3 linked regions of the Arabidopsis thaliana genome follow. The protein of the gene in region 1 interacts with the protein of each later gene in a pairwise test. Each region holds a gene or a part of one and is shown on either strand. Other genes may lie near its edges. The genes, in order: AT5G47790, IAA9 and PAP1.

Region 1 (9,608 bases):
TCCAAGCAGTGCTAAAATCCTTCTTGGCTAAGATCTACAAGAGGCAGAAGTAGTAGAGACAGACAAACATAAGTCTCAGCCCTCAAAAATTTCCTGTTATGTCTTTGATTCTTGGTTGGTGATTTGTGTAATTCTGTTAAGTGCTCTGATTTTCAGGGGGAATAATAAACCTGCCTCACTTTTATTCTTGTGTTACAATTGTATTTGTTTCATGACTATGATCTTCTTCTTTCATCAGTTATATGAATTTGAGATTCTTGTTGGTTGATGCCTGTGACTACATACATAATATTGACCAACAGAAGAAGATAACTCGATACATACATTGATTTTATAACACTGAGATTTAAGCAACTCTTCTTCTTCTCTAATGCCTACATTCCATTCCAAAGGCAAGAAAATAAAGCTTCAAGCGCAGGCCTCGACACGTCACCTTGTCGCTTAATTTAATACAACAACTAGAGTTTATTTATAAATAATGGCTGTGAAGGGTAAAAGCGTCTTATCCTCAACGACCACCATCATCATCCAGCTAGCAGCAATTGGTTTTTCACTCACACACTAGAAACAAGAAAAAGAAAGATGGGAGATTTAATGGCTCGGTCTCTCTCTTGATCTGACGACGACGATGATGGTGAAGCTTCGCAATCTTGTTCTTTTCTTCATGCTCCTCACCGTCGTTGCTCATATCCTTCTCTACACCGATCCCGCTGCCTCCTTCAAGACCCCCTTTTGTCAGTAGTTCTCTCTCTCTTTCTCAATTCTCCGATTTGAAATTTGCTTCTTATCATCTTCTTTGTTTCGTTCTGTAGCTAAACGCGATTTCCTCGAGGACGTAACCGCCTTGGTCCGTATCTTCTTCCCTCTATCTCTCTCTCTCTTTTGATCTTCCCTTCCATTGCGTCACATTGTGTGTTTCCTTTTCAGACTTTCAATTCCGATGAGAATCGTTTGAATCTTCTTCCTCGGGTACCTTTTCTTTTTCCAGTTACTTATTGATTCGCCTCACTCAGATCTTAGCTCGTTTCTTCACTTTCTTCTTCACATTCATCTTTAGGAATCTCCCGCTGTGCTCAGAGGAGGACTCGTCGGTGCTGTCTATTCCGATAAGAATTCACGGCGGCTAGGTAACTTCAATTCTCTCACTCGCCTCTCTCTGTGATGTCTTCCTTACTTGACTTGATTATTTTTTTTAACATTCTCAGACCAATTGTCTGCTCGAGTTCTTTCCGCCACCGACGATGATACTCACTCACATACTGACATTTCCATCAAACAAGTCACTCATGATGCAGCCTCAGACTCGCATATTAATAGGGTACGTGTTTTCCGGAGAATCAGATTGGATATTCCCTAAGTTGATTGGCTCCAGATTTGAATTTGATGCTTGGTAATAGTATATATTTGGATCCTTGTAGGAAAATATGCATGTTCAATTGACCCAACAAACCTCTGAAAAAGTTGATGAGCAACCAGAGCCTAATGCTTTTGGAGCTAAGAAAGATACTGGAAACGTGTTGATGCCTGATGCTCAAGTGAGGCATCTTAAAGATCAGCTTATTAGGGCAAAGGTTTATCTTTCCCTTCCATCTGCAAAGGCCAATGCTCATTTTGTGAGAGAGCTTCGACTCCGTATTAAAGAAGTTCAACGGGCACTTGCAGATGCCTCCAAGGATTCGGATCTGCCAAAGACGTAAGTGTTTCTCACCTCTTGAAATATATGTTTCTTCCTCTTTAACTGATATTTCTCTGCCATTTTTTTGAACCCCAGTGCTATAGAAAAGCTAAAAGCAATGGAGCAAACACTGGCCAAAGGCAAGCAGATCCAAGATGACTGTTCTACAGTGGTCAAGAAGCTACGTGCTATGCTCCACTCCGCAGATGAGCAGCTACGGGTCCATAAGAAGCAAACCATGTTTTTGACTCAATTGACTGCTAAGACCATTCCTAAAGGACTTCACTGCCTTCCTCTGCGCCTCACTACAGACTATTATGCTTTAAATTCATCTGAACAACAATTTCCAAATCAGGAGAAACTAGAAGATACTCAGCTGTATCACTATGCCCTTTTCTCTGATAATGTTTTGGCTACGTCAGTTGTTGTTAACTCTACCATAACCAATGCAAAGGTAAGAATTAACTTTCTTCTTTTGTTTGAACATGTAACTGTGTTTCTTTCTGTTAAACTTACGGTCTTAATGGTTTATTGGCAGCATCCCTTAAAGCATGTCTTCCACATCGTCACAGACAGACTCAATTATGCGGCAATGAGGATGTGGTTCCTGGACAATCCACCTGGCAAAGCCACCATCCAGGTTCAGAATGTTGAAGAATTTACATGGCTGAATTCAAGCTACAGTCCCGTTCTCAAACAGCTTAGTTCTAGATCGATGATAGATTATTACTTCAGAGCCCACCATACAAATTCAGACACCAACTTGAAGTTCCGGAATCCAAAATACTTATCGATCCTTAATCATCTTCGTTTTTACTTGCCTGAGATCTTTCCCAAGCTCAGCAAAGTGCTCTTCTTGGATGATGATATAGTTGTGCAGAAGGACCTTTCTGGTCTTTGGTCAGTTGATCTGAAAGGTAATGTTAACGGTGCTGTAGAGACGTGTGGGGAAAGCTTTCATCGCTTTGACCGTTATCTGAACTTCTCAAATCCACTCATTTCCAAGAACTTTGACCCTCGAGCTTGTGGTTGGGCGTATGGTATGAATGTCTTTGATCTGGATGAATGGAAGAGGCAAAACATCACAGAAGTTTATCATCGATGGCAGGATCTGGTATGCAGAAAATATATATATGCTAGGTCGCATCTGTTTTGATTTCAAGAATGTTTGCTAATCATATACACGAACGATTTTAAACTGCAGAATCAAGACCGAGAATTGTGGAAGCTAGGGACGTTGCCGCCTGGTCTAATCACATTTTGGAGACGAACATATCCGCTAGACCGGAAATGGCACATACTAGGGCTTGGATACAACCCGAGTGTGAACCAAAGGGATATTGAGAGGGCAGCCGTGATACACTATAATGGCAACCTCAAACCATGGCTAGAGATTGGGATTCCAAGATACAGAGGCTTCTGGTCAAAGCATGTAGACTATGAGCACGTTTATCTCAGAGAATGCAACATCAATCCTTAGAATTAGAGTCTGTTGTGAGGGCAATATTATACGTTTATAATCTGACGAGATGATCATTACATGAAATTGTATATGTCACGGTAAAAGGAGTTCCAATAGGCACGACCGATGTTATTATTGCAACATATATATCAACAAGAGGAATGACAACGAAACAATGAAACAACTACTTTTCGTATTCCTTTTTGTCGCTGTTTATGTAAAGCAAGTGACAATTGACATAGGTCTATAGGAGACTTTAGACTTTAATCAAATTTGCCAAAGAGCAATACAACATAAATAGTCAAGCCGATTATCGAACCAGAGTAGCATGAATATTAGCCCAGTGAAGACGAAAAGAGATTCGAATCGGAATTACGTGAATGTGATTTCGAATGACTCTGACAATACGTTTTGACTTGTGTAGTTTATTGTATATTCAGTTTAACTCTGTCACCCGCCGTGTTCAACCTTGCTGGTTCAGAGTTCCACAGGTAAGTTTTTCATAATTTTCTCACGCTGCAGTCCACTTGAGTAGTACTCTAACACAATGTTACAGGTTGGTATGGTTGCCATCAACGATGGGATTCTACTTCGTAATCACATCCACAGGATTCTCAAAGCATTTCCGTGAAAAGCCTTACTATCTTGACCTAGTTGATTTGTTAGGATATGAAATTCACTGATCCATAAAAAAAAACATAGGGGTACGTTTAGAAGAATACATAAAGTATAGGGACTGAAGCTGCAAATTTATGTTCTCAGTAGATGTTCGATCTTTGGACAGAATTGAAGAAAGGAGAAACCCTAGACTGAGTCTGGTTACTTGAAGGGGATCATGTGAATACGTCGACTGGTAAAGAAAGAAAGATTGCTGCTTTTTAGATTTAGATTCGAGAATGTATGGAAGATCTGGTCTTGACAGGTTTAAGAAGTCCCAAACTTCGGAACCCTTCTCTGTATCAGCAAATCCTCCTCCGGTGGTACAACAACATCTGTCTCCGGAGGCATTGTCGGGGCAAAAAACTCAGATTGGAGCTGGTCAATCAAACTGGCATCCCCCTGATTGGGCGATTGAGCCTCGTGCCGGTGTCTACTCTCTGGAAGTTGTGAAAGACGGCCAGATCCTTGATCGGATTCATCTAGATAGACGAAGGCATATCTTCGGGAGACAACATCAGACTTGTGATTTTGTCCTTGATCATCAGTCTGTTTCCCGCCAGCATGCCGCAGTTGTTCCTCACAAGAATGGCAGGTTTGTCATCGCTACTCAATTCTCTCATCACAGCTTTGGCCACTGTTGACATGAGTCTTTTTTATTTTTTGTAGCATCTTTGTGATTGACTTGGGATCAGCTCATGGTACGTTTGTTGCAAATGAGAGGTTGACTAAAGATACTCCTGTAGAGCTTGAAGTGGGTCAATCCTTACGATTTGCTGCCTCCACAAGAATCTACCTTCTGAGAAAGAACAGTGAGGCTCTCTTTTCTCGCCCTCCACCTCCAGCTGAGATTAAGCTTCCTCCACCTCCTGATGCTTCTGATGAGGAAGCTGTTGTTGCTTACAATACCTTGCTGAATCGATATGGTTTAAGCAATGGAGAATCTGGTGGTATGTTAGGGAAAAGGAAAGAGAAGACCGGATCAGAAGCGGGAGTGGCTAAGAGGATGAAGAAAGTGAGAGTGAGCTTCAGGGATCAACTAGGAGGAGAGCTGGCTGAGATTGTTGGCATGTCTGATGGAGCAGACGTGGAAACAGAGCCTGGTCCTATAAATGTCAAAGAAGGAAGCCTCGTTGGGAAATATGAATCACTGGTGCGAGTGACACTCATACCCAAAGGCAAAGTGAAGGAAGAGAAAGCCTTTACAGGAGGAACAAGAGGAGGTGTAACAGATCGACTCCAGGAAGCTATGAATATGTTGAAACGGGGTCCAAAAACAGGGATTTACGATGACCTTTACGGTGGTGACTCACTTGCCAAGGCTGTTGGTACGTCATGGGCTTCTGTGAGTCAACCAGCAGCTGAAACTGAATGTGGAGGGGTTGGTGAAGAAGATGATAACGACGATCTGTTTGGTGACTAACTGATTTTGAACACTGAGATTCCTTTAAGTAACTCTTCTTCTTCTCTAATGCCTACATTCCATTCCAAAGGCATTGGTATGTTGTTTCCTCTTTGTCTATCCAATGGCTGCAGCAAGAAAAGAGAGCAGCTCTAAGCCCAGGCCCATTGTCTTGTGTTATAAGTAAGAACCCTGAAATTTGATATGAGCTTGAGCCTGGTCAGTGGTCATTCTAGTTGTGGGTCTTAACAGGAGATGCATTACATAGATAGTCATTACAAATAGTGTGGAGAGTAGAGAGTAGGGCCAATGCAAATGGAGTGCATTTGATTAGACCACTACTGACTTACAGATTCTCTCCTCAAGGCAGACCAATTCCATCAGAAGAGGACATTTGTACTCAAATACCTCTCCTCTCATTCTTTTTCACTTTTGCCTTTTTGCATTATTAAAACAGCACACTAATGATGTGGGTTGACTTCCCTCTCCCCCACAAAAACAGAGATTCCATGGGGGGAAATGGACAACAAGTAAAACACTTGTAAAAATGGTAATCTGCCTCTGATGCTTTAAGATATGATTTGGGGATCAATGCATCTTTGCTTTGGGATTTGCTTTGTGACAGTTAGTATAAAGAAGAGAGAAGCTGAATGTGCTGCAACCAAATTAAAACTCTCTTTTGAGTTAAGCCTATATCCAACTCCTACTCTTCCTAGTGTGGTCCATTGTATTTATCATAAGAGTAAACTCGCTTGTAATAAATTATAGTAGGGAAAGGTGGAAGACCCACTTTTGTTTCTCACTTTCTTTCTGTTTGGTGAGAAGTTGTTTTCCTTATGCAAAAGATGGAATGCATGAAGGACACTTGTGTCTGGCTTTTTATTTATTTTGGTTGTGGATACTTTCATGATATACTTTACGACCTCAACCCTTTAATACCACACAATCTACCTCCATTCATCTTTTCTCTTCTCTTAATTTTCACCTTATCTCCCAACGAGACCATAGAGGAGTTACTGACTCCAACTTATAGCTACTAGCTATGCTGCGTAACTCTCTTAAACACTACCTTGGCACCTATGACAAATATGTTAGTGAGCCAACTTTTCTGGCTTTGATTTTCAAACCAAACAAGTATGAAGGAAATACATATCAGACACCATTTGGAGACTTGAGTCCATGCGGGGAGCAACAAGTGACGAGGCCGGGACCCTTGTTGCCATTCAACTCTCTCTCTCTCTTGGGATTTAATTTCACTAACACTTTATGTCAATTTGATCATTACCACTTTCACATCTCTCTCTCTTCTCCTTCTTCTTCTTCTTCTTCTTCCTCCCTCATATCAACCTTTGAGCACACCAGTTTTCATGGTAAAATCAATCATCCTTTTGCTTTATCTTTTTCGTTTTTTTTTCTCTCTCTTTTGGTTTTCAGAATTGTATCATAAACAGACTACATGTGAGTTTGTATCATTTAGGAATACATATAATAAAATTTCAGCTTCATCAATATGTAATTATCTTCCTGTGTCTTTCCCACTTTTACCTAAAGATTTGATCACTTTCTCATCATATGTATATATATATTCCTCTTGAACGCAGAGAAGTCTAGGATGAAGTTCATGAAAATCGGAACAAAGCCTGACACTTTCTACACTCAAGAGGCTTCAAGGTTGTTCCTTGATCTCTTTGCCTCTAAATTTCCCAAATTCCATTTCTCTGACAAAATTTTTACACTGCAGGATTTTGATAACAGACACACCTAACGATCTTGTTATTAGAATCAACAACACCACTTATCATCTCCACAGGGTATATATCTCGATTGACTCTCTTATCATAGCAGCACACACATATATGTATGTTAATAGTGGTTTCCATCTTTGTCTGCAGTCTTGTCTTGTTCCAAAATGTGGGCTGTTGCGAAGGCTTTGCACTGATTTAGAGGAGTCTGATACTGTTACCATAGAGCTGAATGACATACCTGGTGGAGCCGATGCTTTTGAGTTGTGTGCTAAGTTCTGCTATGATATCACAATCAACCTCAGTGCTCATAACCTTGTGAATGCTCTCTGTGCCTCCAAGTTTCTTCGGATGTCTGATTCCGTTGACAAGGGAAATCTGTTACCAAAGCTTGAAGCTTTTTTCCACTCCTGCATTCTCCAAGGCTGGAAGGACTCCATTGTCACTTTGCAGTCCACTACCAAATTGCCAGAATGGTGTGAAAATCTTGGAATCGTCAGAAAGTGTATAGATTCAATTGTGGAGAAGATCCTCACTCCAACTTCAGAGGTCTCCTGGTCTCATACATACACCAGACCAGGCTACGCGAAGAGACAGCATCACTCTGTTCCAAGAGACTGGTGGACGGAAGACATATCAGACCTCGACTTGGACTTATTCCGCTGTGTCATCACAGCAGCCAGGTCAACCTTCACGTTGCCACCTCAGCTCATTGGTGAAGCTTTGCATGTCTACACTTGCCGTTGGTTACCATACTTCAAATCAAACAGCCATTCAGGTTTCTCAGTTAAAGAAAACGAAGCAGCACTGGAAAGGCATCGGCGTCTTGTTAACACAGTTGTGAATATGATTCCTGCAGATAAAGGGTCGGTTTCTGAGGGTTTTCTGCTGAGACTTGTTAGCATAGCGAGTTATGTGAGAGCATCTCTCACAACAAAGACTGAGTTGATTAGAAAATCTAGTCTGCAACTCGAGGAGGCAACTCTTGAAGACCTCTTGTTGCCTTCACACTCATCCTCTCATCTCCATCGCTACGATACCGACTTGGTTGCTACAGTTCTTGAGAGTTTTTTAATGCTCTGGAGAAGACAGTCTTCTGCGCATCTTTCTAGTAACAACACTCAATTGCTGCATTCAATCAGGAAGGTGGCAAAGCTTATTGACTCCTATCTTCAGGCAGTCGCACAAGATGTCCATATGCCAGTTTCCAAATTTGTGTCTCTTTCTGAGGCAGTGCCCGACATTGCACGCCAGAGCCATGACAGACTTTACAAAGCGATCAACATATTTCTCAAGGTATCAGATGCTCTGGCCTGCTCAAGGGCAACTAGCTATGGTTGAGAGTCTCACCAACCTACTTTCAGAAATCATACATTTTGCATACAGTACTTGAAACTGATAAAACATTTGTAACATGGCAGGTGCATCCCGAGATAAGCAAAGAAGAGAAAAAACGACTATGCAGAAGTCTTGACTGCCAGAAATTGTCTGCACAAGTACGTGCACACGCTGTGAAAAATGAGAGGATGCCATTAAGAACGGTCGTCCAAGCACTCTTCTTCGACCAAGAGAGCGGTTCCAAGGGAGCATCAAGTCGATCAGAGAGCCAAGAACTCTTCACAAGAGGTAAAGAGACACCCACTGATGAACATAGCATGATGCACAAGCTTCACCTAGGTCCAGCTTCTACAGGGAAAGCTAAGAACGTGCTTGAAGAGGGATGCAAAAGAGGAGAAGAGAAAACCAGATCCAGTACAGATCCTAAGAAGATAGTGTGGAAAGGAACAGGGTCAGAACATAAGCATCATATAAGTAGAGACAGGTAGTGGGGACTATACGTCTTAGGCCACAGAGATTCAGTTTCTTGTTTGCACTCGCCAGATTTCTGGTTCTTTTATTTTTCTTTCTAAAAAGAATTGATGATGATTGTAGATGGTTAATGTAAACCCAGTGGCACGATCTGTATTAATACAATGCAGAGCTCAAGCTCCTGCTCAACCACTCTCTCTTATGTGCTTAAGAAAACGGTTCAGCAACAAGCATGAGCCATGGGATAATATGTAGTAATGTGCTTATTAGGATAAATAGGTTCAAGGATCACATACTTTGTTTCAACCTTTTTTTTCCTAGAAATCAAGCATTGTTCCCTTGTTGACAATTACTGTTATTTAGATAAGGACATAAGATTGCCTTGATAGTTTCATTGTATACATAATAAGATTATTACTTGCTTACAAGATTTTCGCCTCACGCTCGTTCTCAGGGTGATTAACCCTTAACGTTCGTTTCAAAATCAGGCTGGTTTGTGACTGAGCGCACCCAGGCCCACTTGTGGTCACGCGTGTTTACTTGGTTCTTAGTCTGTGCCACCTCCTCTAAGGGGATATAAGCATAGTTCCCATTGATCGGGCCAGGGACGAACCCTGTGTAACCAGCCATGACTCCATGGATAGCCGAGTGGGCCAAGAGTGTACAATACAAGTTATCCGTAGCATTTGCAGGTACAGCTCTTATCATGTAAGTCGGATCGATATACTTGACAGTGAAGAGCTCGTCTGGATGCTCTCGCTCCCACCAGGCCTTGAGCACGGACTTAAACCAGACTCCCACATCCAAGAAAACTGCGTTGCCAGATTCATCCCTCTCTTGTTTCTGTGATTCATTTCTTGG
Region 2 (10,737 bases), 6.9 Mb from region 1:
ATTGGTGTTCCTACTGGTTTGGCGTTAATCATGTTGTAGCGTTGAAGTAGATCAAGAATGTACTTTCGCTGCGAAAGATGTAAGCCCTTAGACGTCCGATGATCTTCTAGACCAAGAAAATAGTTGAGATCTTCAGGGTCTTTGATGGAGAAGCGAGCTGCGAGTGCATCAAGAACTTGTTGAATGCTTCCTTTGTGACTACCCATGATTAGTATATCGTCGACATACACCAATAGATAGACAAATTATTTGCCACGTTGCAGAATAAACAGAGAAGTGTCAGCCAACGAGTTTTGAAATCCCAAGGTGAGGAGATAAGTCTTCAATTCCGTATACCAAGCACGCGGAGCCTGTTTTAACCCGTAAATCGCTTTACGTAGTCGACAAACGAATGATGGATTGTCGGGATCAATAAACCCAGGAGGTTGCTCCATGTAAACTTCTTCTTTCAAGGTGCCTTGAAGAAAGGCGTTGTTGACGTCTAATTGTCGGATTGGCCACGATCGGGTTACCGCAACATCAAGAACAAGACGTAAGGTGGTCGACTTGATCACAGGACTGAAAGTGTCTGTATAATCACGGCCAAGTTGTTGATTATACCCTTTTGCCACAAACCTTGATTTGCACCTGCCAAGAGAACCATTAGGGAGAAATTTGTTTTTAAATACCCATTTACAACCAACAATGTTCTTATTAGGCTCTTGATACCATGTTAAGAATGTAATGACTTATATTATACGAATAGCTTTACACAAGTATATATACAAGTACAGAGGAGGCTACACTAGGGTTGTACAAATATAGAATGTTCCATAAAGGAGATAGAGGAATATTATGATATTAAAGAGAGATGATCCTATGTATCCTTAACAAATCTAGTTTAGTTGGATTTGATTTAACATTTGAAAAACTTGTATACCAACTTAATTCGAAAACTGTATGGAAGATTTTGAATGTCCTAACACAATCACAATTATTGTATATATATACTTGGTCTGTCCGGACAAAACTGCTAATCAAACCTTTCAAAGAAAAAAAGGAAAAACCAAAAAAAAAAGAACTTAACTAAACAATAAATCAATAATAATGCTGATACGATATATTTTGTCCATATATATGAGATCGTAAATCTCTCCCATGACTGATAACTGATAAGAAATCTATGGATACCATCAATTCGGTGGGTTTGTTGAAGGTCTACCAAATCGAAGAAACACACATTCATTCTCGTAATCGTACGTATATTCATTTATCTAGCTTCTTTTATTTGAATTTTTACGCAATATGCAATTCGATTCGTAGACTCAGTTGAATATAATTGACCTAATACCTAATGCTTATAACTAAATATTATAGATACTATTCTTGAATGCAACATTGAGATGATCAAATCATTTACATTTACAATCTTATTTTTCTCGTTTGATGAAGAAATAATTTTGGGGAACAACCATATATAGATGAGTGATAAAGGTATTGCCACGTTCCATTACTGAGAAGCATAATTCAATTCATATCTTTTGGAGACAAATTCGACATGTCATTCCCTAAGTCTATTTCATATATTTAATTTTAAAAACATTGAATATTACTATATAGTTTATCAACTTATATGGATGTATATAGTATGTCCCATTCGAATAAGTGCATCAAAGCGAAACGAATTAAATGAGATTCACGACCAATGATTGTTGTTTATGTGTATACTATTAAGTTCACGTGAAGCTAGCTACAAGAATCACAGATATATACTACATTATTTGGATTAAAGTTTTAAAGTAACAAGAGTGATTTAAATTCGACCCGTAGGTTCTCTTAAACTATGAGAGTACTATATGAGTCTTTAATTATCTTGATCGAATATATGCCTTGGAATTGATTAATTAACGCCTCTTTGAAAAATTGGACAGTTGAATATAACATTTCATTTTAGGTGGGGTTTAATCATATTGTTTTGTCAACGCTAACGGAATTATTAAAAATGAACAATAAATGATATCACAAAAATAATTTTCATAAAACAAATAAGCAAACCACCATTGCCAAACCCAAAGAGGCGCACTATGCTTCCACCTTCAGGAACAGAAAAATAATAAACGTTCCTTGAATGAGAAATGGGAAATTAGTATATGGGAATTTATGTTCATGTATCTTTGACTATTTTTCTCTCAAACGATATTATTCGATACTATTAAACTATAGTTATTCACTAAATCTAAAACTGATTCGTTGAAATTTATGATATCTTCGTTTGGGGATTGTACTATATAGTTATCATGAGTTTGTACGCAGCCCATGCTTGCTAAGGTAAACAAAGTTTCATGGAAGGTTAAAAAGTGAAATAATGATATCAAAACCTTTTCCCGGCGAAATTACTTTTATTTATCTTTGATTTGTCTTGTAGCTTTTGGTTCTTCAGGTGAATTATTCAAGTTGGTTTAAAGATCCGTTGGTGGCAATGATTTGGTAGCACAGTTTAGTTATGACAGTTATAAAAAGATTTTTTTTTCTTTCTGATTAATCTTGATATTCCATTTAGAATAGAGTCATAGACATTGAGAAAAACGTAGGTTTACCACTTCCGCATTCAAATGTGTTAGAATTTAACAATCCACCTCAAAGATTTAAGTACTGATTAATATTTAAGATTGTTTTGCAAATGCAGAAGAAGAACCTCCATGTTCAATGATAGAAAGCCAAATCGTAAAACCGGATTGTCTATCTTCTCTTCTCGAGAAGAAGCAAAGAAGAGAATAACAAAAACGTTACATCAAATAATATCTCAAAGGTAGAAGTCAACCACACATCCAAATCAAACACAAAACATAAAACAACGACCAGTTTACTGACTAAAGCAACAAACAAACAACAAAAATAGATCATTTTTAATTCTTCTTCATTTCCTTACATTCGTAGTCTTACTTACTTCATTTTAAAAATTCAGAAACTAAAGATATTGATGTTTTGAAATTTAAAAACACCACCAAAAGATCGCACATATTTTGTATAGTTAGAAAGCTTTGTCATGTTCCATCTTTTAAGCTCTCATCTTCGATTTCTCCATTGCTCTCGGAGCTGCAGCTGCAATATCACCAGTTCACCACATTGAATCATTAAGACATTTTGAATCAGAGAAGACGAGTGATCAAACATGAATTGAAATCAGTTTAATTTCGATTTTATTTACATGTTAATTTGTTGTATTTACTCCCAAAAGAAGACGAGTGATCAAACATGAATTGAAATTTCTAAATCAGCTACAAGTAACTCACACCAACAAACCACTAATCTCATCATACACACTACTTGTAATCGGTTTTAGTAGAGATAGTAGTTTACGTTGTAGCTTAGGAGCAGAGAGAAGAATAGACTTTACCTAACCCAATAGCATCACACCCTTTCATTATCTTCAGCTTCTTGCAGACATCAATAAACATCCTGTAATATACATCGGATCAGAAATCACTCATGAGCGCTTATACCAATCACCATGATATAATCTTCTATGGCATGTTAGATTTGATTCTAAGATATCTGGCAGAGAGTAGAGAAAGCTTCTAACAAGTTTTGAATATAAGAGAGGAAACTTACTCCCACGGAACATCTCCAACAAGCATCCAGTCACCATCCTTATCCTCATAAGTGAGCACATAGTCTTTTCCATTCAAAAGATCCTTGAGCTTGGTCTCACTAAGCATATCCTTCCCAGCAGCTCCATTAGATCCACATTGACCTAAACATCAAATAAACAGTGCAGGTTAACTACTTTGACTGCACTCATTCATTGATCCTTAAATAGAAAGAGGTTTTCAAACACATCACTAGCAATCACTGAAACATCTCACCAAGAGTGAAAGTGGTGAACATTTTCTCCAAGGCTGAAGAAAGCTCCCCGTAGTTAGTGTAGCTCCTCAGGTCAACTTTCCTCAGATAAGGAGCACCATCCATACTGACCTTCACGAAGAGAGCCCCAGAACCTGGCCTCCCATCAACTTCGTCACTGTTCTTACAAGTAGTGGCCAATGTGTTCTTCCTGTAGGATCTCACTGGAGGCCAACCGACAATTTGTGCCCTGAAAATTCCAGAATCCGAAAAAACACCAGTTAGCTAGCTGTTGAAAGTAATCCATATCAAAATCGAACGAATGCTCCTATCTTCTATTCATACTTGGCTGCAGGTGGACTAGAGCTATTGTTTGTAGTGCTAGACTGTCCTTTGGGTATGTTTTGTGGCACATCTTTCTTTGTTACAGACTGGGTGGCTGCTGCTTCAGGGAACATCCAGTTTTTCTCAGTATACACTGAACTTTTAGCTTCAGCAAACTGATCCATTGTGTCAGAAAAGCCTCTTTTGTTTCCCGATGCATTGTTCTTTTGCGAGGAGGAGCATATCTCATCTTTAGAAGGAAGCAAAGGAAAGAATGGCTTCTCATCTAGCTTTGCTGGGCTCAAAAGGTTAAGCTCTGTGTCTCTCGCAGGAGATTGTGATCCAGGAAGACCAAGTGTCAGCTCCGTAGCCTTGAGGCTGATAGTAGCTTTGTCATCTTCAGCAAGGGGAGAGAGAGTAGAGCTTCCAACAGAAGAACAATCAGAGAGACCCAAGTAGTTATGCTCTTTAAGTCCTCCTAGAGTGTTCCTGGAGATGCAATTGCTAGTAGGTGAAGAACTAGCCACCGATACATTGCTCTGTAGCTCCTCTTCCGGGGACATTGGATACTCAAGGTTTCTTTAACTGCAAAGCTGCTTTACCTGATGATTTACACAGCACAAAGTCCTCCACATTAAATTCACATAACCATAAACAAATCCTCAAACAAAACCCTAAATTACCAGAAAAAATCAAGAACTCAATTTCAATCAAAATTCGAAGAAACTCGAAACCGTATCAATTAGGGTTTCAAAAGTAGATTGCATCTATGAAAAACTCACAACCAAAATTTAGAGCAAAATAAAGCTCAATCTGAGAAAAAAATGGAAAGCTAAAAATAAATAGAAGTCAACTTAAGGTCAGATGAAGAAACTACACCGTTGAGTTACATTTTTCGAGCTGATCTCAGATTTGAATTTCCACAGAATTCTATCTACAAATCACTAAACCTAGCAAGGTTTAAGCCAACAGCTCAAACAAACCAAAATTCGCCATAGAAATAGTGAGGAAATCAGCAAAGAAACTCAATAGCTAATAGATCTAATAACTACTAACTACACACACAAACAACAACAAGCTAAAAATTACCGGATTTGAAACTATGTATAAGAAGAACAGAGAAGACATAATTACCTCAAACGGAAAAAACAAATCCTGGATGAAAAATGGAAGCTCACAACGAAGAAGAAGAAGACGATCAAAAATAAGAGAGTCTGAGATATTTTGGAGAAGAAGAGTATAATTTTTAAGAAACTGTAGAAGATGAATAGCAAAGAGAAAGAGAGAGAGAAGTGTCAAGGTCCTTCCATTAAAGCAGAAAAAAGCTTAATTATCATTACCCAGAAACTCGTAGCCGAGATTAAAATTAAAATAACTAAACAAAGTGGTAGAATAGAAAATAAGTGGAAAAAGTTGCGTATTTTTATTTACGAATGGATTCTAATCCAACGGCTCAGATTTGATCGTGCTGATAATTCTAAACCGTCGGATTTAAATCAGCAGATATGAACCGTTGATGTACAAATGTCGGGAGTCGGATCTTTAAACAAAATTATGCCACTTTTCTGGCTCCACCCGAAAGGGGATGGTTGTCTGCAAATATTAAATTCCGATTCTATCCTTTTGTTTTTAATGACTAATGTAACCTCTATGTGATGATAATGTGATTGAGGAATGAAGGGTAAAATGGTAAAGAGAGAAAAAGAGGAGTGAGGAGGGGACAAGAAAGCGGCATTCCAAGTCGGTTTGCCGGGTGGTGAATGGGACATCTAACCTCTTCCACTTTCTTCCTTTCTCTCTCTATCTCTACTTTATTAATCTAAAATTAATTAAGACTTGTTAATCTTTTTTTATAATCACTTTCTTTCTTTCGGATTAAATTTAATTAAATTCCGCCACCTTCCTAATTTCTTTAACTTTCATTATTACGTTTCCTTATCTTTCAATTTTTTTTACTTAGATTGGCCCAACTGGATGGGGCCCATTGAGAAATGTTAGTCCCCCCAAACTTGAATTTTTCATTTTGCTTTTTTTTTTTGGTTTGGCATTCATTGTAGTCTTCTAGATAGATGAATGGGTAAATAGTATAAGTAACTTTAATAATGACTATAGATTAATCTTTTTCATAAGGTTACGTCACGTGCTAGATTTTTGTTTTTTATTTTTGTTGAATTTGCACTTAAATAAGTAAACTGATTGAAACAAAATTATAGTCATGACAAAAATTAGATACATACAAGTTTGTCCGAATTGAGTTTAAAAAAAAAATCTCATTTTTTGAAAGTATAATTTGTGGTGTTATTGTTAGAAGTACAAAATTTGAATGTGAACAACATACATATTTCTGGAGTATTAAATATGTCTGAATTGCACTGTTACGATCATCATACACAACGTTTAATCCATAGTAATAAGGATGATTGGTTAAAAAGTAAAAAAGTAAATTCGTTGGTAATAAACAGGTAAATTATGTATGTTAATTTTTATAGTCGGTTACATTCTTTTCGTGTTAAAAAGAAAAAAAGAAAAAAATTATAGTCGGGTGTAATATACATAAAAAAAATTACTGTAAAAAATTCAAAGTAATTAAAAAAGGAAGGTAATGGGAATTGGGGAAAGGGGAGCATAATAATAACAAAAGGGGTGAAATGGGATTGAAGAACACGCATGGGAAGCACAAAATATCTCAATCTGACCGTAGGATTTGATGGTAAGAGAGTAAGAGAGGCCTGTGTCCGTTCATCATCATCATGACCTTCTCTGACTCTTTTTTTTTCATCATCACTCTTCCGTACCACTCACGTTATCTCTTTTTTACCCCTCTCTATTCTTTTTAACCTTTTTTCTTTCCTTTTACCAAAGATTTAAAGACGATTAATCAAAAAAAAAAGTCTTTAACACCTTATGCACAAAGAGGAAAGTAAAAGAAAAATATTCACCGTCCAGAATAATAATACGGCATTTCTTAACCTTCCCCGTAAAAAGTTTTGATTTTCTCTTTCTCATATTTTGTTTAATCGTCTGTATAATAAGTAAAGGATATTAATTATTTCAAATTACTACAACTACCATCAGACATTATATTTAAAATTATGAGTACATGAAAATATGTGTCTAATTAAAAAGTGATTGGTAAAAAACAATAATAGTAATACAGATAAATTATTACAAAAATGCAAAAGTAAACAGTAGATCAGATTAGCAGCATTTGCGAGTACAAATAATGCGGGTTGAGACAAGACAATGAGACCCGTAGTGCTTTTGTCCTTCACGCTTATTTTATTAGTCTTTGATTGATGATGGATTCACTAAAGTTAATTAATCTTTTTCCCCGTAATTAATTAATTTATAATTAGAGTGGAGGAAATCAAACGACAAGACACGTTAGACTGTTTACTTTGGGCCCAGACTTTGCACTCTAGTATATAAAAATTCATTTATAATTGGGCTTTTATTTCATATTATAACATAGGCCCATAAGCCACTATCCTTCTTGATGGGCCATAATATACTTACCTCTCTCGTATTAAGGATTTGTTGAATTTATAATCTACGTGTTGACCCCAAAAAAAATGTAATGTACGTAAGATATTTCTTCGTTTAGTCAGTCATGTTGCTGTCAACGTTTTTATAATTCTTTGTATCACAATTTTTTCAATTTTTTTTTAACTAGAAATACACAAAAACAACTAATTATTTATTGCAAATTGTTATATGTTTTATATGTCTCAATATAGGGTCAAACGACGAGCTACTAAATCGGATTTGCACAACAAAATAATATAATTAATTTTATCGAGTTCGTAATAGGACAATGTACCGAGCCGTGATCATCAATATACGAGAGAGCCATTAAAATATATTTGACCGAAAATCAAATACACCTTCGAGTTTTCACATAAAACCTCCGTCAGATATTTCATCCCTCGCAATAAATTACTACATAAAGATAACATTTTAAATTACATGTATATCTAGCTGTATATGAATTAGATATAAGAAAAAGAAAAAAACGGTTTCTTTTTCTTTCTATGTATAACACCTGTATTTGTACATATCGCTTAGGGTCTTAGTCTATATCAACATGGTCCCATACAGCTTAGTTTTTGCTTGTGGAACAGGTTTGGATTTTTCTACAACATAAGAGCTTATATTATAAATGCATATTAAGTCAATTTCTCTGTTTAATCAAATCTTTTTGGTTCTAGAATTGATGTCACCGAATCGCTATGTATCTTTGATTAGATTGGAGAAAAGACAGATTTGCGTCACTCTCAAAACAAACCCAACAACATGCTGCATACCTCATTGAAATCGTTATTAGTAGATAATAATTTGTAAGTTCATTTTTTGGACTAATTAAAAAGTTTAATGTTATTATGTTAGATATATATTATAATGGTTATTAACAACGTTTTAAGCAAACACACAAGTTGTGATATAAAAAGTGTAGGATCGTGGGGTTTAGGGTTTACAATTATAATGGTTAAAACACGTTTTATAGAATTTTTTGTTATTGATAGAAAAAAAAAAGTGATATAAAAAAGTGTAAGATGGGTTTAGTGGATATACTCATTGACCCTAAAAGAAACGGCGGTGACAAATTCAAGACCCATTCACAGTTCACACTTCGCACACACATAGATATAGATATTTTTATTGTGATTACAAGTTAAAATAGCAAGTCTACTTCCTAATAGAAATTCCTTGTATTTCATTTTAGAAATTTGAAACCAATTTTCTATAAACTCAATTGTACAGTATATGAAAGTAAGCACAATTTAAAAAGAAAAACTGAAAATAATTGTGCTTACTTTATTTTAGTTTTCGTCAATAACAGTGTTTATAGATGTTTGCATATGAAAGATCGTATCTAATCTTACTAAGAAACTTATAAATCTCAAAGATAATTGTTATCTTGTGTCAAATTTCGAAGAGGAACTAGAGCATTACATGGTGTGAATGTGTAATAAACTAACCATGCTCTTATTGCAGAGAAATCTATTCTTTATTGAACAAACTGGAACGTTTACAACATTTAAACATATAAAGAGACATGTAGATTCCAAAGGAACAAGTACAAGATATACATGAATCTAATAATATACATTATAGAGATCGATTATTCATTATTATCCAAAAACGCTGTTTTCAAGATGGACGGATGGAGTTAAAACCAATATCTGTGTACATAGAGGAATAATCTGATCAAGCATTAACACAATTAACTCGTAAAGCACCATTTTGAATAAGGCCGCCCAACTTATGTCATAATCTACCTCAACATGTGTTTTTTTTGTTAGTGAACCTAAACATGTGTCATCCTAGAATAGAAGATTGGATTAGCACAAAGATAACTAGCTTATACATAATCAACTTGTCGCAATATATAAATGAGTGAAGCATATGCGGAAACCGAGCTTAGACATATGGGATGATGATAACCACTAAACAAGTTAATGTAACACTATCCTACTATCCTTACACTTTTATGTCTAAATGAAATCTGTTTTAAAAAAAAAAAAAAAACAGAAACAAATGTTCCTATTAAGAAAATAATAAATAAATATATAAATTTGGAATAACTGATTTTTGGCGGTATGTATAATTAAAACTGCAAAGACAAAATACAGCTATACCTAAAATTATAAGTCAGGATCGAAGTAAGAGGTTTGTCAAATTCGAATTCCACACGGCAGCTACTCTTTTGTTTTTCATTAGATCTTGTAGCAGCCGTAAAATCTAACTTAATATTGACTTTAATAGTCTATATATGGGTTACTGATACTGTCCCATGTGACAAAATTTAATTATTCTTATATTATCATTTCCTGGTATCTTCAACGATCAAACATGTTACGTTTATTTATTAACAAATACAAACACGTCAAACATTATATAAAAAAATAGGAAACAGAGTATTCCCATATCAATCTTATCATCGATATCTGTACTTTCAATCGTGAAGTCGTTTAAGATTTATGGACCAATATTTGTCCCTTAGGAACTCAAAAGGCCAAAGGTCCAAACCCGAAAACGCTCAGGTCCATTTTCGTAATTTCATATCAAGTGTGGTAGTTTTGAGTCGCAAAGGTTTTTATTTATTACTTATATAAAGTATCAAACCCATATTTCTAGTAGATGTTTTTAATTAAATTGACAACTTAGAGAAAGAAAAAGTTGATACGCATTGCCGGCAAAAGTCCCAAACTTTTGACGTAAATATGTTTCATAGTCATCCGGAAAATTAGAGTTTTTGGCCTTTTTGCCAAGTTAAAGATTTTACCCTATAATATGGATTTTGTCGGATCAAAGTAAATACTGTTTTTTTTTTTTGGATTTGCTTGTATTCCGGGTTTTATGTTATAGCGACCAAGTGGATAATGTATGAATGAACCACGTCTCAACAACATCTTAATCACTAAGTATGTGATTAGTATATCTTGTCTCTGATTATCACAATTAAACCTTGTCGATCGTTTTCAATCAAAATTAATGCATATGACGAAATTTTTGTTGAAAATTTTCAAAATCACGAAATTAAATTAAATTGGTGATGAGAAGCTCAAGGTTGGAAATAAAGAGAGCGTA
Region 3 (9,917 bases), on another chromosome or scaffold:
CATAGAAACAATTATAATTTGTTGAATAATAGTTTTGCTCTTGCTTAAACAACAAATAATCATACTTGTTAAATCAATGAAATTCAGCTGTTAAAAAACAAATAATCATATACATTGTTATAGGTTATTATAAATAGACAACTCATAATTTGTGAGATTGTATATTTTAAACCATCCATGAATTTTTAATTATTTTACTTTGATATGTAAAAACTCCACTTGCGTAAGAGGTGAAGCCTTCTGGAATACAAGTCTGATAAGAAGAGATGAGAAAAAAAAAAAAAAAAATTAGTTTTCTATAGTCTACTCTAAATATGCAAATACAAGCACCCAAAAACATGAACAAAATTTTGAAGAAAGGAGTACAATCAAATATGCAAGGCATGATTTTTTTTCATTCAACTCTAAGAAACTTGCATTATATATGTGATAAATTCACAAAACTACTAGTATTAGTAGTCAAAACTCAATAGTCAACCCATTTTTCCATAAAGGCATGAAGTTCATGAACATTGATGATCAACAATTGGGCTCATTTTCAGCGTGATTTTCATGGGCCAGTTATACTAGAGGATCAGTTCAGACCTTATCCATATTTGGATTATTTTTTCTTTTATTCCTCTTTTTATTTTGTTAAAATGATATCAATTTCTTACATATACTCCTTTTTTAGTTCACTAAAAAAATTAGTGAGTGGATAAAAATAATTTTATTTCTTGGTGAAAATTCTAGGAAGAGCATCATTGACACCACCACTATTCTCACTTGCTTTTCTTTATTTCCCTTGATATGACATTCAATTCACGAGTTGTTTTTTTGTTCCTTTTCTCCTGAGTCGGCTACTTTTTTAATCGGATGCTTTGCTTTGTACTCTTTTAATCACAGCCGTCACATTTGCTATATCTCTATTCACTTCTACGGCTTTGATTAAAGCCCAAATTTAAACCTTATCGTACGATCTCAAAATCTTGTGCAACTTCAACATGTGTCCACTGTCTAGTTTGTCTGTGCGGATCTAGTTAGTGCGGTTAAGTTAAACCGGAGAGGTTCAGGTTATGTTAACCATGGTTAAGGTTTTGTCTGACAGTGAGGGAAGAAAGTCACGGAGTTGGGTAAAACGGCGACAAGATATGACTAGAGACACACTCCTTCTTCAATTTCCTAAATTACCCTTCCTTACTTGACCGGAACTCTCACTCGAGATTTTTCTACGTCGGCTTTATCGTAATATCGGTGTCACACGTACGTGGGAGAGACATGTACATTCTTTTCCCCCTCCTGAAAAACCAAATAAAATAGCTTCAATCTTTGGTTGAAAAACTTGAAATATGTTCTTGATTTACGCTGCAAAATTATGTACATTTTTTAAGATCAAAGGACCAACTACAATTGTTTCTGCTAAAGTCTTTTCTTTTGTTATTTTTATCAAAATATGTTGATTTTGTAGATTTGAGAAAAGAAAATTTTTGATTAGGAAAAACAAACAAACAGTTGACTATTTACTTGGTTGGGGAAGCAAATTAAATTATACCATCGTAATCCACACGTACACATTGTTTTTAACTTTTGACAAAATAATTGTTTAGCTACCTAACAAATTGACATATTGTGTGGCAAATTTATAAATAAATAATTACATATATCTCACTGAGACGCCATGCAGATTCGTATGTTTATACAATGCCTCACCCATTTCTTGAATTCTCTCAATTGATCTTCCCATGATGTTCATTTATTATTTGCTTTATGTATATCTTTGTAGAATGGTAGTATTACTATTAAAGTATCAAATTACCATGACGACCTATAGAAAAATGTTTTTAGAAAAGCATAGGGATATGTGTCTTATGGACAGTGGATAAGAGAGTGGTCCTAAAAACAGACCATAAATTATGGGATCTTCCCTTAGTTCCTTTATTGTTATCATATTTTAATTACTCTTATTAGTATTTTTTTAATGGTCAAGTTGTTTATTGGAATTACGCATTTAATTATTTTTCTAATTCGTATACTTGTGAGAAACAGAACAGCACGCTTTGCTTCTTTTACTAGACAAACCCTTAATTAGCGATATTTGAGGCAGAAAAAAAGACAAGGTTGCGTGTGTTTTACTCCACAAAAGAACTCCTAAAACCAAAAACGTTAAAACCCACTTCTTTTTTTTCACAGTATTCTCTTTTCATGTCAAGAACAATTACTGTTTTTCTTGGTATGCAATCTGTAAATTTATTGTAGTTTTCATTTCTACTTTTGGGGTTTAGGAGTAAAAGTGGAGTCACTCTACTTTGCTTTACCTTTTTCTGAGTTTTTTTTTGTTCATACAAATCCAAATTTCCTTTTCTTTGTATTCCTATTTTTTCTCTTCTCGTCCCTTTCAGAATCTTTAGAGAGAGAGAACAACAAATTGAGAAAGAAAAAAAGGTAAGGCTGTGTGAGAGAGAACCCACCAAAGCGTGCACGAGAGAGAGAAAAAAAAAGCTTTGATTTTGTATAAAATCCCACCACTGCTCTCTTACCATACCTTCATTACACATCTCTCTTTCTCTCTCTCGCTCTCAGTTTTGTGGGATTGTTTCTTTAAAAGGGGTTCTTAGGGTTTAGTGAAGCTATAGATTTCAATTTCATACATAGTTAACGTATAGAAGGAATCTTGGGTTGATCAATGGAAGGTTGTCCAAGAAACAGAGAAATCGGTCCAAAACTTCTTGATTTGATTCCACAAGGAAGGAAATGGTACCAAGAAGACAAGAACAACACAGATCAGGAGAAGAAACTTGAGCTAAGGCTTGGACCACCCGGTGGTGATGAAGAAGATCATTCAGCAATCAAGAAGAAGAACACAGAGATAAGAAACATCAAGAAGGAAACAGAAGACAAATCTTTCCACTGTTTTAATGGCAATCACTTCTCTCCTTCCAACAAAACCACTTCTGTTCCTCACATCTCACAGAAAAGGTATAATCTCCTTTTTTTTCCTTCACTGTTATTTTTTCTTACTGCTTTGACAGAGGATATTCTCTTGAACATTAGGGACCCATCTTCTGCAATCTGTGTTTTTTTTTTTACCTTCACATGTTAAAAGTTTCAACATTTACTCTGTTTTGCTCTGTTTTTGTCGTTTGGTATTGACATATGTCTCTTGTTTCTTTTGATATCTGGTTCAAAGAACTGCTCCTGGTCCAGTGGTGGGTTGGCCTCCGGTTCGTTCGTTCAGAAAGAATCTAGCGAGCACAAGCTCTTCAAAGCTAGGTAACGAATCCTCTCATGGAGGTCAAATCAACAAGAGTGATGATGGTGAAAAACAAGTTGAAACCAAGAAGGAAGGAATGTTTGTCAAGATCAACATGGATGGTGTTCCTATTGGTCGTAAAGTTGATCTCAATGCTTACAACAGCTACGAACAGCTCTCTTTTGTCGTTGACAAACTCTTCAGAGGTCTACTCGCAGGTTAAATCTTAATCTCAAATTCTGTTTTTTAGTTCTTTAGGAGTGTTACTTGTGTTTACTGAGTATGATTTGTGTATGTTGTTGGTTTATAGCTCAAAGAGATATCTCTGATGGTCAAGGAGAAGAGAAACCTATCATTGGATTATTAGATGGGAAAGGAGAATTTACTTTAACCTATGAAGACAATGAAGGGGACAAGATGCTTGTTGGGGATGTTCCATGGCAGTAAGAATCTTTTCCCCTTTTGTTCTCTGAATCTGATTCAGTGTTTTGCAGAATTAGATTCTTGATCATATAACAACAAAAGTTCTCAGCTTTTAATCAATAGTAGTAGTAATTCAAATTGATAATTCTTTACCTAAAGAATAGAATTTTGCTTGGAGATTTGTTTATACCTCTTTTTTTGCATACTAACTGATCTTTAATCTTTGTTTTTAAACACAGAATGTTTGTTTCATCTGTGAAGAGACTGCGTGTGATTAAAAGCTCTGAGATTTCATCTGCCTTGACATGTAAGCTTCTGTTCTTATATGTTTAGATGATTTATTAGAGCTATATGATTAAAAGGGTTCCTCTGTATATTTGCAGTTGGATGCAGTAAGCAAGAGAAGATGATGCACTGAAGAGTCTTTTTAGAAACTTTTATTTCAGACAGAGAGTCTCAAAGCTTTATAAATGTACATCTGGTTTTTGTTATATATAAGAGTTAATCATTGGTTTTTTACTTTTTTTTTGGTCCAGAGAAACATTTGATCTGATCTGATATTCCCATGTCTTCAAGACACTAGACGATGAGATTACATAAGCAATCTGTGTTTATAAGCATTTTAATTAATTAAGGAGATAATTAGAACATACTGTAATAATTATCTCATGCATGTCTGCAAAACTCTTTTTGAAAAAAGAAGATGAAATTTTTATTCTCTGTAAAAGCTCTTTTAACTTTTGTTCCTTCCAACTTTGGCTATACCTTTAATCATGTAAAAAGCTGAGAATGAAAGGCCATTATTGTTGTTTTTGTTGTTGTCTTTTTTTTTCTTCTTGTTTTTACTATTTAACCTGAGTATGCATGTATATAAGAAGATAAGATTGGAAGTTGAAAACTCAAAAAAGACTTTTCAGAATGAGATCAGTCCATGTCGTGATAATTTTGGTGGCTATATCATCTCTTTTGTTCTTCTAGGTGCAGAATTTAGCAGCTTTTTATCCTGACTTTTTAAATCATACATACACATTGTAACTTATTGGACAGTGTCTTGGTGGATCGACTAAAACATCACTATAGATATGTTTAATTTAGCACATTGTTTTCGTGATAAATATATTCATACCACAAGCATCACTTGGCCGACTTGTATTCATCTTAAAAATTTTATTCGAAGTTGTCCTTCTCATTACCAGATGAGTGTTGTGGTTAAACAATATAACCATTGAAATTGATGCAGCCAAATAGTTTGATAATAACATTTTTTGGTAGCTAAATAATGGTATATGTTTTAACTTTTAACCAAACCAAAAAAGAAACATTTTCGAAACATATGTAAAGCGATAGCCGCAACATAATGAGTTGGAAAATTCCGTTGTTTCATTTGTTGCAAAATGTCGCACCAGTGCCGGCTCTAGGGGAGTGCTAGAGGAGCAAAAGCACAGGGTCCTCAATTTTTTTTTCAATTTTCTTTAAGGTTTTAGGGTCCAAAAATTACAGAAATTAAAAACCAATATTAACTAAAGTCAGTTTTTATAAATCAGCAAAAGGTCTTCAAAAAGTTTGAACCGGCCCTGCGCACCACTTATTATATTTTCATTGTTTGGAACCTAAAGATATATTTACATACTAACTTTTACCTTATTAAGCATATGCAAAAAATAATATAGCGCAACAACATGAGCAATTGACAATTCGTGGTGTCTTCTTATAAAGCAGTAGTGAGTGTATGGGTTAGAATTTGTGGTTGGGGTCTGGGGGAAAATACTGAATGGGACATGAAAAATAAATACGATAGAAACATTGAATTTTTTTTCAGAATAGTCATTTTCGTTGAGACATGCCTAACTCATAGCAAATGTGAGACTTATAACTCGTTCTTTAGATAAAGGAACCCATCATTTAATATACATGATTGTGATGGTTATCTCCACCACTGCAACAAAGAATTGAACTTTGAATACCTGTTTTTTTTGCTGATAAACAAATAAAAAAACTTAAAAATGTCGACGTAAACCTTCTAGTTTAGTTTCATCAGTTATTAATTGTCCATTGTGTTATTAGTGAATATCAGCAAATACACTGCGTAACGTTTCGGGTATCTTTATTCGGACTGTGTGCCATTTTACTCTTAAATGGGCCTTACATCAAGAATTTGGGTCCATGCTGGGTCGGTCGACACACTCCAAACAGTCACACATATATTAAAGTTTATAACCAAATCTTTGAAAATTTTGATTTTAAATGAATTGAACATATATGCAACGAATAGTACTTGTCAATAATTATTTTAGTCAACATTTAAATGCTATAAGGTAAGAATTGAACCACTTGATAATTTGGTACCACCTTTAAAAAATAATATCTTATTATATATAACCCTACATACTAATGTATCTCCTATTTGTAACACCTAAGAGCGCTGTATAAAATGGAAAATATTTCTCCGACATACTCTTTAAACGTAGAGAACACTAACGACTTTATCTTGTAAAACAGTAGGAATATTTGGCCCACATTAAGAAAAACAGTGAAAGGTTTCTTCAATATATTCATCTCTTACACTAGAGTCATGTCTACCTTACGTACAACTTTGAATATATATAGTGATAATGAGGTTGGTTCTTGTAGTGGAGTTTTATGGTAAATAGTACAATTTTTTGTTGTGGACAGTGGAGTAAGGTGGATAGGTTTATAAATTTCGTCGGTGATCCTTACACATTTATAATCTTTTCCATGCGTGTTTTGAAATCTTGCTCAACTAAAATTTGTATGTACTAGTTTATATAAAATGAAATAGATGATTATGGGTTTTGACTAGAGACAAGATTCTCCAATATAAAGAATTCATCAAGTGGAGGCGCCCATAACTGTTGAATATGTATATATATTTTTTTTAATTTTTTTTTGGTAAAATATGTATATATTTTTGTTTCTAAAGAATAATGAATTTGAGGGTTGAATCCTTCTACATGTCTATCCCACTTAGCTCTCCTATATGATGATCCCTTAGAAAGTTTTTAAATCGTGTGTCAAACAAATTCACGCTCCAAAATAATTCAAGTTAAATTGTAGAGACAACTTGACAAAAACGCCGATTTCTTTGAATGATAAAACGATCAAAATTTTAAAACGTAGAATTTTAATAAAAATGGATAAATCTATATAATTGTATGAAGAGAGTGATATATTTTTGTTATATCTAAGGAAAATAAATAGATAATACAACAGGAAAAATCCAAAACAAAAGAACACAGATACGGAGATCAGTCTTTCAACAAAGTAAGTTTATACAGTAGGTCATGATCTAACTATTTGAAAGATCTTTTATTAAAATGTGTGAAACGTACCAGCAATAAGACAATGATGAGTGTTCTTCTCGACACTCACGAGCCAAAGGGAACAAATCAGATGAATTCAAAACAGATCTAATATAAAAGAAATTGAATACATACAAAATCAAATACTTCCCTAACCAGCCTAATGCGTACGTAGGTATAAACATCTGAATTAAACTGAAAATATCATAAGGAGAAGATAGAACGAAAGAAAGAATTTAGCATTTTTTAGTTGTGATGGGCCTATCGTATTACTTGTGTGCTCATAATGTAAATGTATAATCATTGAGTTATATGAATAAATGTTTCTATGAGTAAAGTGTCCCTAAGCTATCGAGTGCTTCTAGAAACATCCCTTTGACATATAAACGCTTAATGACTTGTTCGTTTCATCGGTTAAACTTTTATTCATATGTTTCTATATGCTCCTTTCATTTTAAGTAGATATGGTTTGTGAAGGGTTGTATCGTAAATTTAAGCGAACAACAGAGAAATCTTTGAAAAAGAGACAAAACTTATGTCTTCTTATTGGTGTATCTACTTCTTGAGAACGAAGCAAGAGACAAAGTGAGTCTATTAGTTTTGGTAAGGAAGAGGAAAAGCCATAAGAAGCAGAGGTTCTTCAGAGATGGCCTGACGAAGATAACTTTAAAGAGTGCCAATTTCATAGAAGGGGTCTTATGGCACACAGGGTGAAGTCAGGCAAAAAGAAAAAAGGAAATAAAAGAAAGGCAAGGTAAATTTTTACAAATATATAAATAAGTTTTCAGTTAATTTAACACTGATTAGGATTACGATTTGAATAAGTTCTTCTTGTAATTCATGTAATAGCATATACAGTATATGGAAAGCTTGAAGCTCACTTCGATTATGTTCTTAAATGTTTAAATTCTTTCTCTCTCTCTCTCTATATATATATATATATATGAATTTGTAATATTCATAATGATCATTGAATTAATCTCAAATTTTTATGCAGTTTTAGACAAGGTCTTTTACCCATTTTATAAAGTTACGTTGTTTTATCACGTCTGTTGAATTGATGAATCGAGCTATCATGTTCATGATCATGTTCGGTGTCGAATGTGTGTTTTCATTTGAAGCTATCGAAAAGAAAAAAAAACAGACATCATAATTAAACTTCTTATAGTATAGACAAATATGTGTGAGACATGATCAAATGAATTGAGTTTGATATTTTGTTTTTGGTAAATGAGTTGGATATAAACCAGCTAGAAACTTACTTAAACACTTATTTACAGTGATTAAAACATTTAAAAGAGACCTGAACATACTCCATGCAAAATTACAAACAGTAGTAGGAAATCAAGAATCTTCACGTATATATGATTAACTAATGGTAAACGCAGTAAGATAATTTGCCTAATGTAATCAAATTTTAAAGTCTTTGCAACGTAAGTCCGTGCGTCCCATTGAACAAACTCATCTCCCATTTTGAAATTGTTGGGCCGTGGCGGGACAACTCAATATTGGTTTAAACGTGTAGAATGGTTTTAAAATATGTATAGGTTTGTCAAATTAAATGATGAGCTAGAAATTGCGTTAGATGACAACAAATCTTCCAAATATATCTTAATTAGTCTGTTCGTTCCATAAGTCATATGGCTTGTTTGATCTTTATGTTGCATCCCGGCTGAATGATTTTATAAAATTACGTCGATATTTCTATATAGTATAGATGCTGTAAGATACATTTCTATTTCTCTCTGAAGAAATCTTTAGCATTACCACTGCTTATCTTTATTCGTTGATCACTATCAAATGAAATGTGAATAATTCGTCATCCTCTCTTTGAAACAAAGAGCGTTTATAATGCTTGAAACAAAATTTTGTCTTCTCAATTTTAAACCTTACAATGATAGTACCTTTCAAAGTGGGTTGAAACATGTTGTAGACATTTTTATTTATGTGGCTTAAAGACCATGCAGACAATTGTTTGAAAAAGAACACAAGAACATACATTTGCAGATTTAAATCTATGGGAACTAACTCCAACGCAAACCAAAATAAAATCAAACCAAACCGATCTATAACTTCGGTTAGATGTGAGCTTCATTTGTACTAAAACAAAATCAACCATACTGACCCAAACCCAATAAAATAAAATAAAACTAAATGTCCATTCCTAATTTTATATTCAGCGATTGGATCTGTCATCTGTACGAGAACAACTCATTGTCCCCAAAATAAGATCCCAAAAGCTTTTTGTTCGCATGCCAAATGCATTTTAAATTTTCAATAATTATAATAAATTTTGGGTTAAGAGATTTATCATCCAAAGACTCTTGCTAACCAAAAAAGGATTATCATCACTAATTTACGTCTCATCGTTAGTATCATCTACTCTGTTAGAACCAAAAATATAGTCTTGTCACAAATCTAGGTATTCCATAGTAGAATTTTCCTGACAATGTAAAAGGTAAAATACATTTTGCTTGCTGCGGTAAATATTTTTGTTTGTCACGATGATCGAAGTTATTGGTCAATTTTTACCGGATGTATGTATATATATTTTGCAACCGTGAAATTTCCATAACGACTATAGAATCTAAAATTAGTATGACTTCCCAAAACCATATAAATCACACCCAAAAAAGTACAAAGAAAAACGTTAAAAGGTACATTGTTTCACAAAGTTAACTTCATTTCTCGAGGTAGACAAAACCCAATGCTACTACCTTCTTTGATTGGTAACAGAAACTCATCATTAAGACATAAAGTTTCAACTTTTTGTTATAGTTTCCAGTTTCACATTTGTTCCTCACCAAGCCACACTCCGACATGAGCATAAACCTTAGCTATAATGATGGGAACAACTTAGTCAACGTTTCGTCAACCACGACCGTAAAAATATATAGTTTGGTTTTGCATTTATATGATATATCAATCCATTTGAAACCAGACTA

What was found.
Region 2: the proteins of AT5G47790 (region 1) and IAA9 interact in binary tests that used the Arabidopsis thaliana proteins (3 or more experiments, as listed by UniProt).
Region 3: the proteins of AT5G47790 (region 1) and PAP1 interact in binary tests that used the Arabidopsis thaliana proteins (3 or more experiments, as listed by UniProt).

Annotation. Positions count from the first base shown.
Region 1 is NC_003076.8:19,347,363-19,356,970, forward strand, and holds AT5G47790 (SMAD/FHA domain-containing protein), read left to right. Parts: upstream 1-3,929; 5' UTR 3,930-4,033; coding exon 4,034-4,389; intron 4,390-4,463; coding exon 4,464-5,217; 3' UTR 5,218-6,133; downstream 6,134-9,608. Other genes in the region: FPS1 (farnesyl diphosphate synthase 1), read left to right, coding at 1-53; GAUT4 (galacturonosyltransferase 4), read left to right, coding at 629-734, 813-847, 928-969, 1,058-1,127, 1,206-1,318, 1,419-1,693, 1,772-2,129, 2,214-2,789 and 1 more; AT5G47800 (Phototropic-responsive NPH3 family protein), read left to right, coding at 6,239-6,566, 6,798-6,867, 6,938-7,007, 7,089-8,234, 8,360-8,764; PFK2 (phosphofructokinase 2), read right to left, coding at 9,207-9,608. UniProt on the Arabidopsis thaliana protein: Inhibitor of protein-phosphatase 1 (PP1). Binds to and inhibits PP1 activity.
Region 2 is NC_003076.8:26,248,435-26,259,171, reverse strand, and holds IAA9 (indole-3-acetic acid inducible 9), read right to left. Parts: upstream 5,765-10,737; 5' UTR 5,281-5,764; intron 5,226-5,280; exon of another isoform or gene 5,037-5,225; intron 4,749-5,036; 5' UTR 4,710-4,748; coding exon 4,168-4,709; intron 4,073-4,167; coding exon 3,846-4,072; intron 3,734-3,845; coding exon 3,592-3,733; intron 3,439-3,591; coding exon 3,377-3,438; intron 3,082-3,376; coding exon 3,038-3,081; 3' UTR 2,628-3,037; downstream 1-2,627. UniProt on the Arabidopsis thaliana protein: Aux/IAA proteins are short-lived transcriptional factors that function as repressors of early auxin response genes at low auxin concentrations.
Region 3 is NC_003074.8:5,606,954-5,616,870, reverse strand, and holds PAP1 (phytochrome-associated protein 1), read left to right. Parts: upstream 1-2,067; 5' UTR 2,068-2,662; coding exon 2,663-2,955; intron 2,956-3,166; coding exon 3,167-3,447; intron 3,448-3,539; coding exon 3,540-3,672; intron 3,673-3,891; coding exon 3,892-3,959; coding exon of another isoform or gene 3,960-3,985; exon of another isoform or gene 3,986-4,035; coding exon 4,036-4,070; 3' UTR 4,071-4,668; downstream 4,669-9,917. UniProt on the Arabidopsis thaliana protein: Aux/IAA proteins are short-lived transcriptional factors that function as repressors of early auxin response genes at low auxin concentrations.